Drosophila melanogaster: one gene and its partner. The protein of the gene in region 2 purifies or fractionates together with the protein of the main gene of each other region. This does not show direct contact. Each region holds a gene or a part of one and is shown on either strand. Other genes may lie near its edges. The genes, in order: MTA1-like and CDK2AP1.

Region 1 (4,843 bases), on a different chromosome or scaffold from region 2:
TGGAATGGCGGCACACTTGTGCCTCAAATGTATATTTTTACGCTAGTTTTCTGCGCCTGATTAGCGAGTGGCCTGCGAAAAGGCGACGCACGCAAATAAAAACTGGATCGTGGAGCGTAATGGATAACTTATATTAAAAATAAAGCAAGATGACAGTGGTCCGATGATGTTGGGGCCGAAAGGGGCTGTGTTAATGGGCATTGTTGGTCTTGTGGGAGTGTAGGAGGTAGAATGGGGTGGTGGATTGGGGTGGGTTGCTCTGCCAGGTCAGACCCACGGAAAACGCATTTTCGCGACGGTCACGTATCGAATTCGAGTGGGTGGCCAAAGCCAAAAATTCAACCCAATTGGGCATGGTTTTTGTGAGTTTTTTGGAACGGCGAAGAGGAAGTGGATGAAGGCGCTGTGTGTATGTATACACAAATGCAAAGCGCGCCTTCCTGCGTGTGCCACATCGCCATAGCTTCACTCCACTCCACTGCTCCATTCCAATCCCCTCCAGATCCCAACTTCTGACTTGAACATTTTCGTGCACACAGAGCAGCAGTGTCAGTGGGTTTGGGGTTGGGTTGGGCATGGGTATGTGTGGCAGCTTTTCAGAGGTAGACAGACTACTACTGTAGTCTACCTACAGCCGAACCAAGTATCACATTCACATTGACGTCGGCGCCGCCTAGCAGCAACCGAAAACAGCAACAACCGCATTACGGGTAGTATAGTGCAGCCCAGCTCATTACAGTCGAGCATCATTAGAGCAAACCGGTGGCACCTTAACGTATGTACATATGTATGCCTAAGGTTGAACTTAATAATTTACAGGCTATTTCCGCACCACGATGCGTGTTTATGTTCATTACCAGTTCCCAAAACACCTAGTTTCTATGACCAATATCTTTTTAGACTATTTGCTAAATGCTTTTTCTAATTTGCGACACGAATAATTCAAATTGCGCTACTGGAACGTAGATCAATGGTGCTTCTGGTTCGAAGTAGAGTGGTTACACTGCCAGTTGATGTGGCAGGTTGTTTGAAGGTTCCACTGCCTGTTTATGTGGATGAGTCGGATGCTGGACGAAATCCGTTTTCGCTCCGCCCTCACAGTTGTTGTCATTGCGGTTCTTGTTGCTCAGGAAGTTTGACTAGGATTGCGGGATGGGGTGGCACTGTGGGAGGTTGGGTGGTTCGGTGGGTGGCTTCGCTTTCCACATGCCTTGACACAGCGCACACAGTGGTGCCCCTTACGGGTTCATTTTGTTGTTGTTTTGTGGTGGGCATGTGCTTAGCAGATCTGGTCGTCAGGTTTTAACTCTTAACTTGTTTGAAGGCCACGACAACGACTCTTGGCAACATAACCTCACTTTGTTGACAATAAATATACACACTTAGAGGTAACGTAACGCAAGATATGGATGCGGTTTCGAGGGAACAGGGTTTCTCTACTCACGTTGGTGTTTGTCGGCCAATTGCACGAGCGGATTGGGCAGATCCCGGCGGCGGTAGAAGCACATGACCTTCGCTTCCACATTGCCGGTTTGGTTTTTGTTCAGCTCCTCGATGCGTCGTATTAAGTAGGGACTGTTCGGCGTTGTCTCAACGTAAACATAGTCTGAAAAAAAAACAGTTTTTGAGGTGGCTGATGCAAAAGGGTCAGAAAAGGGCATGGAAGGGTGGGGGGCTGCAACTCCATTAATACGTCACAGGTAAGCGCACACATACACCTATACACGCATCCACCTAAGTGCGACCACCACTACCAGCTAAAGCGCAATTAAATACATATGGGTCTATCCATCCATATAACTTTATACCTACAACAACTGCAGCGGAACCTGTCGTTGACTATTATAAAAAATAAAAGAAATTCCGTTTATCTGTATGTACATACATACATAGATACAAACGTCGTGTGCACTTCTGCTACATTTTGGGATGCAGATACACAGATAGATGGGTAGATAGATGAAGAGAGATGAAAAAGAAAGTGTGGAGGCAGCGAGAAAGCATTGCCGAAGGTGTGTAACTGTGTGCGTGGCCATTAAAAACGGCTAACAAAAAACGCCGATGGAGACAAAAAGTTCTCGGCGATAAAGAGCAGATAATTCGACAAGTATATATGCCATTAATATTTATTTTGATTCCGTTAATTGAAAGCTTGCGTATCCGACCGAGCTTATTTGCATTTCGAAAGAGCACACACACCCACACACTTGCGAAAATCAGGTGAAGACAACACAATAACGTCACCGCTCGAGCGCGAGCGAGATGGCTAACAGAAAGTGCGTCAGGCAGGGTGAGGAGTGGGAGGCGTGAGATGGGGGGAGATGCTCAAAAGCTCATTAGCATATGAAAACACAAAAAGGCGGGTGGGCGGTGAGCCCAAAAGTGAGATACACTTTCGCACATAGTCAAACAAACACACACGCTGGAGAGATCACAATTCGGCAAAACCAAATCCAAATGCAAATGCAATTCAGTTCCCCAGCCCTAGAATACACACACACGCATACACTTAGGGCATAAGTTAATGCTTATCGGTTGGAACACGTCGAAAACACTTGCTGCAGCTGCGACACAAGAGCAGCAGGGGGCTCCTTCAAAGAAGTTAAAAAAAATAGAAAAGGTCTCTCCTTTTCGACGGATTGTTCTTGAGATTGATAATACACGCACACACACACACATACACGTGCGTCGGGTCTCCCACTAAAGGGTTTTCGGCAATTAAAATGCACTTTCGTTATTGTTGGAAAGCCTCCTCAGACACAACACACACGCATACGCACACATTGGACACACACACACATATGCAGAAGCGAACACGCACACCGTGAAACGGCGGCGCCGATAACGAAAGATGATAGAAAAGCGAGTACGCGAAAATTTTTCTCACCTCCGACTCGATACATATTTGTGGCCATTTTCACTACGCTACCGCACCAAAACTTTCACATGCAAAACACTCGGCACACGCTTAGCACTGTTTTTCAATGGTCCTGTTCCAAACTAGCGCACATTTATTAGCAGAAAACTCGAGTTGTTATGATTGCATTTTTCACATAAGAAGACGCGTTTTTTTCGTCGCCATCTTAGAAACAACTCAACTCTAAAAAATACACGCACACACACACAATGCCGAGTAAACAGCTGCACCAGGGATGCACTCCACGGTGCGATAGTTTGGCCATCGATAGCAATCGATACATGGGGTGTTGGGTAAAAACTTAATGTTAAAATTTAGTTGGGGCGATAAGAAAAACGATAAGGGGCTTTTCTAGGAATACGATTTATATTTATTTATATTATATATACTTCTTGAATAACAATATATATCATTAAGAAAATTAACTGAAAAAATTATGGGCGAACCTTGTTTTATTTATCATTTTCAAAACATATTTATTTTCACCCTTTTTTTCTCATATTAAAACATTCATTCAATCGCATGGGGCGCATGCGATAGTATCGCTTGAAAACTGTCTTCCCTAACATGCAACGTTTGCACTTAAAATTCTGTAATAGTTCGTAGTCTAGGTTTCTACGTTTTGTACGTTTGTATAAATTGTTTCCAGAGTGAGTGCTTTGATTTGAAGAGCCTCTTAAAGACTCATCTCGCGAATTTGTTTACTTTCGCGTGAGTATTTTGGCCGTCGCCAGCACGAAAGGTGTCACGACTCGCTGTCAATCCGTGACGTGGCCTGACCGACCGATTTTTCCAATTGGCAGAGGTCTAACAGAGGTTTTTCCGATTTAAGTATTACATTTAAGTGTTCCGGCGATGACCACCTACGAGGAGTTCATCCAGCAGAACGAGGACCGCGACGGAGTGCGGCTGACGTGGAATGTGTGGCCCTCAAGTCGCATCGAAGCCAGTCGGCTGGTGGTGCCCCTAGCTTGTCTTTACCAGCCTTTGAAGGAGCGCCCCGACCTACCGCCTATTCAATATGAGCCGGTCTTGTGCACTCGCAGCAACTGCAGGGCCATCCTGAATCCACTGTGCCAGGTGGACTACCGTGCTAAGTTGTGGGTGTGCAACTTCTGTTTTCAGCGCAATCCGGTGAGCTCAATGGTGATCTTTAGACTCTCTGCGGCAGTTTATGACAGTCATTATTCCAGTTTCCCCCTCAATATGCTGCCATTTCCGAGCAGCACCAACCAGCGGAGCTGATTCCGGGATTCAGCACTATTGAGTATACTATTACACGGGCCCCCACCATGCCGCCCGTCTTCATTTTCCTGGTTGACACCTGCATGGACGAGGAGGAGCTGGACGCCCTCAAGGATTCGTTGCAAATGTCGCTAAGTCTGCTGCCAACCAACGCTCTCGTGGGTCTGATAACCTTCGGAAAAATGATACAGGTGCACGAGCTGGGCGCGGAAGGCTGCTCTAAGAGCTATGTGTTTCGTGGTACCAAGGACCTGACTGCCAAGCAGGTGCAGGATATGCTCGGAATTGGGCGTGGAGCGGCTCCGGGGCCGCAGCAACAGCAGCACCTGCCCGGCCAGCCGGCTGGAGCGGCGGCCCCTGTGCCGCCCGCCCATCGCTTCTTGCAACCGATCGGCCAGTGCGACGCGGCGCTGGGCGATCTGCTTAGCGAGTTGCAACGCGATCCTTGGCCGGTGCCGCAGGGCAAGCGTTACCTGCGCTCCACTGGTGCCGCCCTATCTATTGCGGTGGGCCTGTTGGAGTGCACTTATCCCAATACGGGCGGTCGCATTATGACCTTCGTGGGTGGCCCTTGCTCCCAGGGCCCCGGCCAGGTGGTCGACGACGAGCTGAAGCACCCGATTCGTTCGCATCACGACATCCACAAGGACAACGTGCGGTTTATGAAGAAGGCTATCAAAC
Region 2 (4,213 bases):
CCGGAACGAATCTGTATGTAACGAGAATTTTCCACCTATTTGATAAACCCGAGGACCCCTGAGACGCAATCGCACGGGAGCACAGGGATCTTGACCTTTCAGTCTAATCGCTGGCGCACCCCGAAACAAGTGGAACTATATAGTCGCCCAGCCGAGCGATCCGTTGATCAGTTAGCTACATAATATGAAATCGGTCACGTTCGTACTCTGCCTGCTCGTTCTGGGCGCCCACTCGCTGCTGGTGTTCGCCGGTAAGTGGATGCAGTGCATCGTCGCCACAAACCATTCAATCCCGCATGTTCATCTTGTTCATTCGTAGTGGATTGCGAGATCGGTGGGCATCAGTTCAAGACCGGAGAGAAGTACACGCCGGAAGGTCGCTGCCTGCAGTACACCTGCCAGGCACCCAAACAGGTGACTGCCTTGGGGTGAGTAGCTTCTACATGGATTGATGACTCCTTGACTCACCCACCTTGCCACTTGTGGCCATCCAGATGCCCGGCCATCGCCTCCTTGAAGCCCTGCAAAATGGAAGAGGATCTGAGCAAACCCTATCCCGGCTGCTGTCCCAAGTTCAACTGCTGACAACGCCTCCCTCGCAAGTCGAACTGCAAATGTGAAATGAACTATGAAAACTGAATATATAACTATAGAAACATACATACCTTAAATGAGAGATGCAGTTGGATGGATGGTTATGAGGGGTTCATACATAATTAGAATCAAGTTTGCCAGTTCTGCGTTTACAAAAACCAAAATAGCGCATTTATTTCGATTTCGATTTCGGTTTCGGTTTGGTATACATGCTTGAACTTAGTCGTATTTGCTCTCATACATATAGTAAATAATGTGTATACATATATAAATATTCTCGTGTCAATTGCCACTAATTCACCATTCACTTGGACATGCACACTGTTCGCTTGCATAACAAGTATATATGTATACATATATCTCTGCTTAACTACATCTACATATCTGCATTTGTATAGTTCTCTAAAATAACGAGGAGCAGCTTTATCCGGCAGTGACAAACTCGCACAAATCCTGTCCAGATACATCCGTATCTGCATCTGCATTTGTATCTGCAAATCCTCGACGGCGGTTGCCATTAGATACTCGTAATTGATTGCATTCACTAACGCAGACACAGGAGCAACTGGGTCTTGCATTAACGGATACAAATTAATGGGTATACGGTAGAGATACACAAGTCCAATAACTTGGGCTGCAGCTATACTTGTAGCATTGTCGATTTAACCGATTGTAACCTGAGCTAGTCTAAACATTCTTTAACTATGGTCCGGCGGCCCGAGGGCCATTAAGTTGATGTGGGCTTACAAGTTAGTACAAATTGCTACACTTTAATGCTTAATTGGGACAAAATGGATCTTTGCGTTTGCTATATGTCCGTGTTTTTTTTTGTTTTTTTTGTTTGGGGGTAATTAACCTAGATGAGGCCGATCCTCGCCTCCTGGTCCATTTCACTCCGGGGTCGCCAGCTGCGGCGCCAGCGACTCCTCCTCTCATTGGCGCGCCGCACGCTCCGTTTCCATGAGGCATTCGCGCACCAGGATGCGGGCATGGACAATGCCCCGCTTGAGACGCTCCGTGGAGCTGCGCGAGCCCGTGTACGTGGGCCGGATATCGCGGCCCATCTCCTCAATGACGGCCAGCAGCTGGGCGTACTTGGTCAGCCCATTGCCCGGGCCCACTGAGGGCAGGCTGGCCGTGGAGGTCAGCGGCGTGGTGATATTGGCCGAAGTTTGGGTGGTCACCACCACGGGCGAGGTGGAGGGTGGCGGGTACTTTAGCTGCGATGAGCTCAGATTCAGGCCCATGCTCTGGCCATTGCTGCCAGAGGAGGTGGAGGAAACGCCGGCACCGGAATTCCGCTGACCACCATTGCTGGAGCACATGTTGGCCAGCGAGAGGGCCGCAGCGGCGACGGCTGCCGGCGTGGCCGTCGTGTTCGACTGCTGCTGGAGTAGCGCCAGCTGGGCCTGGAGGAACTGCGGGGAGTATTGGAGGGCAGCGACGGCGGCGGCAGCTGCTGCTGCATTGGCCGCTGCAGCGGAGCTCTGCTTGCTGGACGAGCTGCTGTAGTCGCTGGCGGAGGAGCGGTCCCGCTCCCGCTTGCCACCGCTGCTCGTGGAGTAGTCGGTGGCAGCGTTGGATGAGTTGGATCCGCCTCCTCCGCCAACGGATCCACGCGAGTGGTGGATGGCCGATATCTGGATTTGGGGCTGCTGCTCGCGCTGCTCCCGCTGCTGCTGGTAATTGTAGAAATTCTGCACTTGGCTGCGCGGTATCGGTGTCACCGTGACGTCACTCAGCTTGGACTCTACGGCCTGGATATCCATGATGTCCATGGTGGCGCTGGGCGATGTGGTGTCTGGAGTCGATATCCGTCGGTTGTTGTGGTAACTTAACTATGTCCACCTTTCCGTTTTCCTGGCACACAAAACTACTAGTTTTTAGCGTTTCTTTTTTGGTTTATTGTTTTTTGTGATATGATATCGATATCGATATCAGGAGGCGTTATTACGCTTTCCCTTCAACGCACAAACAAATACACCCCCACCAACAAAAGTCGATGGTTCGGATTATAGTATCGATAGACAAGCGCGATGCAAAGTGCCCACCTATTCGCGTCTCGAATGTGGGTGTTTCCACTGTACAAGCAATTTGTATACATGTGGAAAGCTCTTTGTCCAAATTGGTAAATGGCTAAATGTTTTTGAAAAAAAGATAATTAACAACCATAAAACTACAAGAAAATTACAAAATTTAACCCAAGTGCATATGTATACATGAATGACAAAACGGTAAAACCATGCAAATGAATAACCATCCACGTCGAATAATACCTAGTTCACCCTGATAAGGCACTCCCAATTTGTCTTATTAAACAGCTAATTTTGTTAGGGCTTAAAAATACCCAACGTTATGTATGTCTAGTGTTGTCTAGTTTCGGGGGGCGGAAAAGCCAATTGCACACAAATATACAAAGTATTGCCGAAACGTTGATTCTTTCAATAAATAAGGCACATTTTAATGAACTTATGCTTATGCCAACAAAAGCGGTCGCTTATTTTTATTACTTATTGATATAAATTCCAAAACAGCTGACATTTTTAACGGTTACTTTGCCTAGTGTTGGCCAAGACATCAATCTTAATAATAAACTCTCAAGTTGTCAAAATTATACTTGTATTTCTACTAAAAAGTCATAAATATACCCAAAAACTACTTAGCCAATAGTAACCCTGCTTAATATGGATTTTATTCACTTATTAACACGCCAATTGTCTCACTTTTCAAACACAACGGCTGATTGCCAGCACTGTTTGCGCTGCAGTCCAGTGCTGCGCAACGCGGCGGGGACAAAAAACAATGGCGAGGCGAAACTAAAAAATTGTGTTGCTGACATCTGGTCGCTTGCAAAACTATTTCTAGCAGATTTTGTGATATTTCGTTGTGATCGGTCGATAAATCCGCCAGTTTTTTTTTTAATGGAAAGTGCTAACACATTGTAGCGGTTGGGAAGATAGCAGGAAAGGTGAGCGAAAGGCAGAAGATTGCGAAAAATTCAATTAAATTTCCGCGACCGTCTGTTTTCTGCATCGGTGTGTGTTTGTGTTTGCTCGCAAGTGTGTGTGGGTGCTCTGTGTATGACGTAAAGCGATAAAGCAAACGCATTCCCCCCACTCCTTGCATATGTGTGTGTGTGCAAGTGTTGTGTTTCTCTCTCATCAGTTTTGCATCTAATTAGGAGCGGAAAGCATTGATTGGCTGCCAAACGCCGCGGTTTGTTGTTTTTTTCGCTGCATTTCGGCCAAAAGGCTTGCCGCAGCTGCATATGTGTCGCTATGTGTGTGTCAGTGTTGCACAGTGCCGCCAGTGCCCACAAAATGGGCGCACAACAACAAAAGCAGCAACTCGGTTGGGATTTTCGCGATCCTACGCTGGCTCGGAGCTCCCCTTTTCCTATTTCCAATTCCCAGCCAGCGGGCTGCCGTTTTTCCTTTTTGTTATCCGTTGCCAGACGCAACGAAAACGACAGTTGGCATTTGAATTCAGCACAAACACACATACTAACGCCGACCCGCAAGCAGCACACACACACACACTGGGACACTCGAAAAAAAAAAAACAGACGCTGTCGGCGACCTCGACAAGCAGTTGGGTTCGATTTAGTTGTCAATGCCTT

Evidence for each region.
Region 1: the proteins of CDK2AP1 (region 2) and MTA1-like purify together in Drosophila melanogaster (affinity purification with western blotting, with the first as the bait; one study listed by BioGRID). This does not show direct contact.

What each region holds. Positions count from the first base shown.
Region 1 is NT_033777.3:5,645,610-5,650,452, forward strand, and holds the start of MTA1-like (metastasis associated 1-like), read right to left. Parts: upstream 3,130-4,843; 5' UTR 2,916-3,129; coding exon 2,888-2,915; intron 2,302-2,887; exon of another isoform or gene 1,662-2,301; coding exon of another isoform or gene 1,607-1,661; coding exon 1,445-1,606; intron 1-1,444. Other genes in the region: Sec23 (secretory 23), read left to right, coding at 3,773-4,051, 4,111-4,843.
Region 2 is NC_004354.4:11,136,216-11,140,428, reverse strand, and holds CDK2AP1 (CDK2-associated protein 1), read right to left. Parts: upstream 2,571-4,213; 5' UTR 2,373-2,570; coding exon 1,527-2,372; coding exon of another isoform or gene 1,485-1,526; 3' UTR 740-1,484; downstream 1-739. Other genes in the region: ssp7 (short spindle 7), read left to right, coding at 185-251, 320-428, 495-585.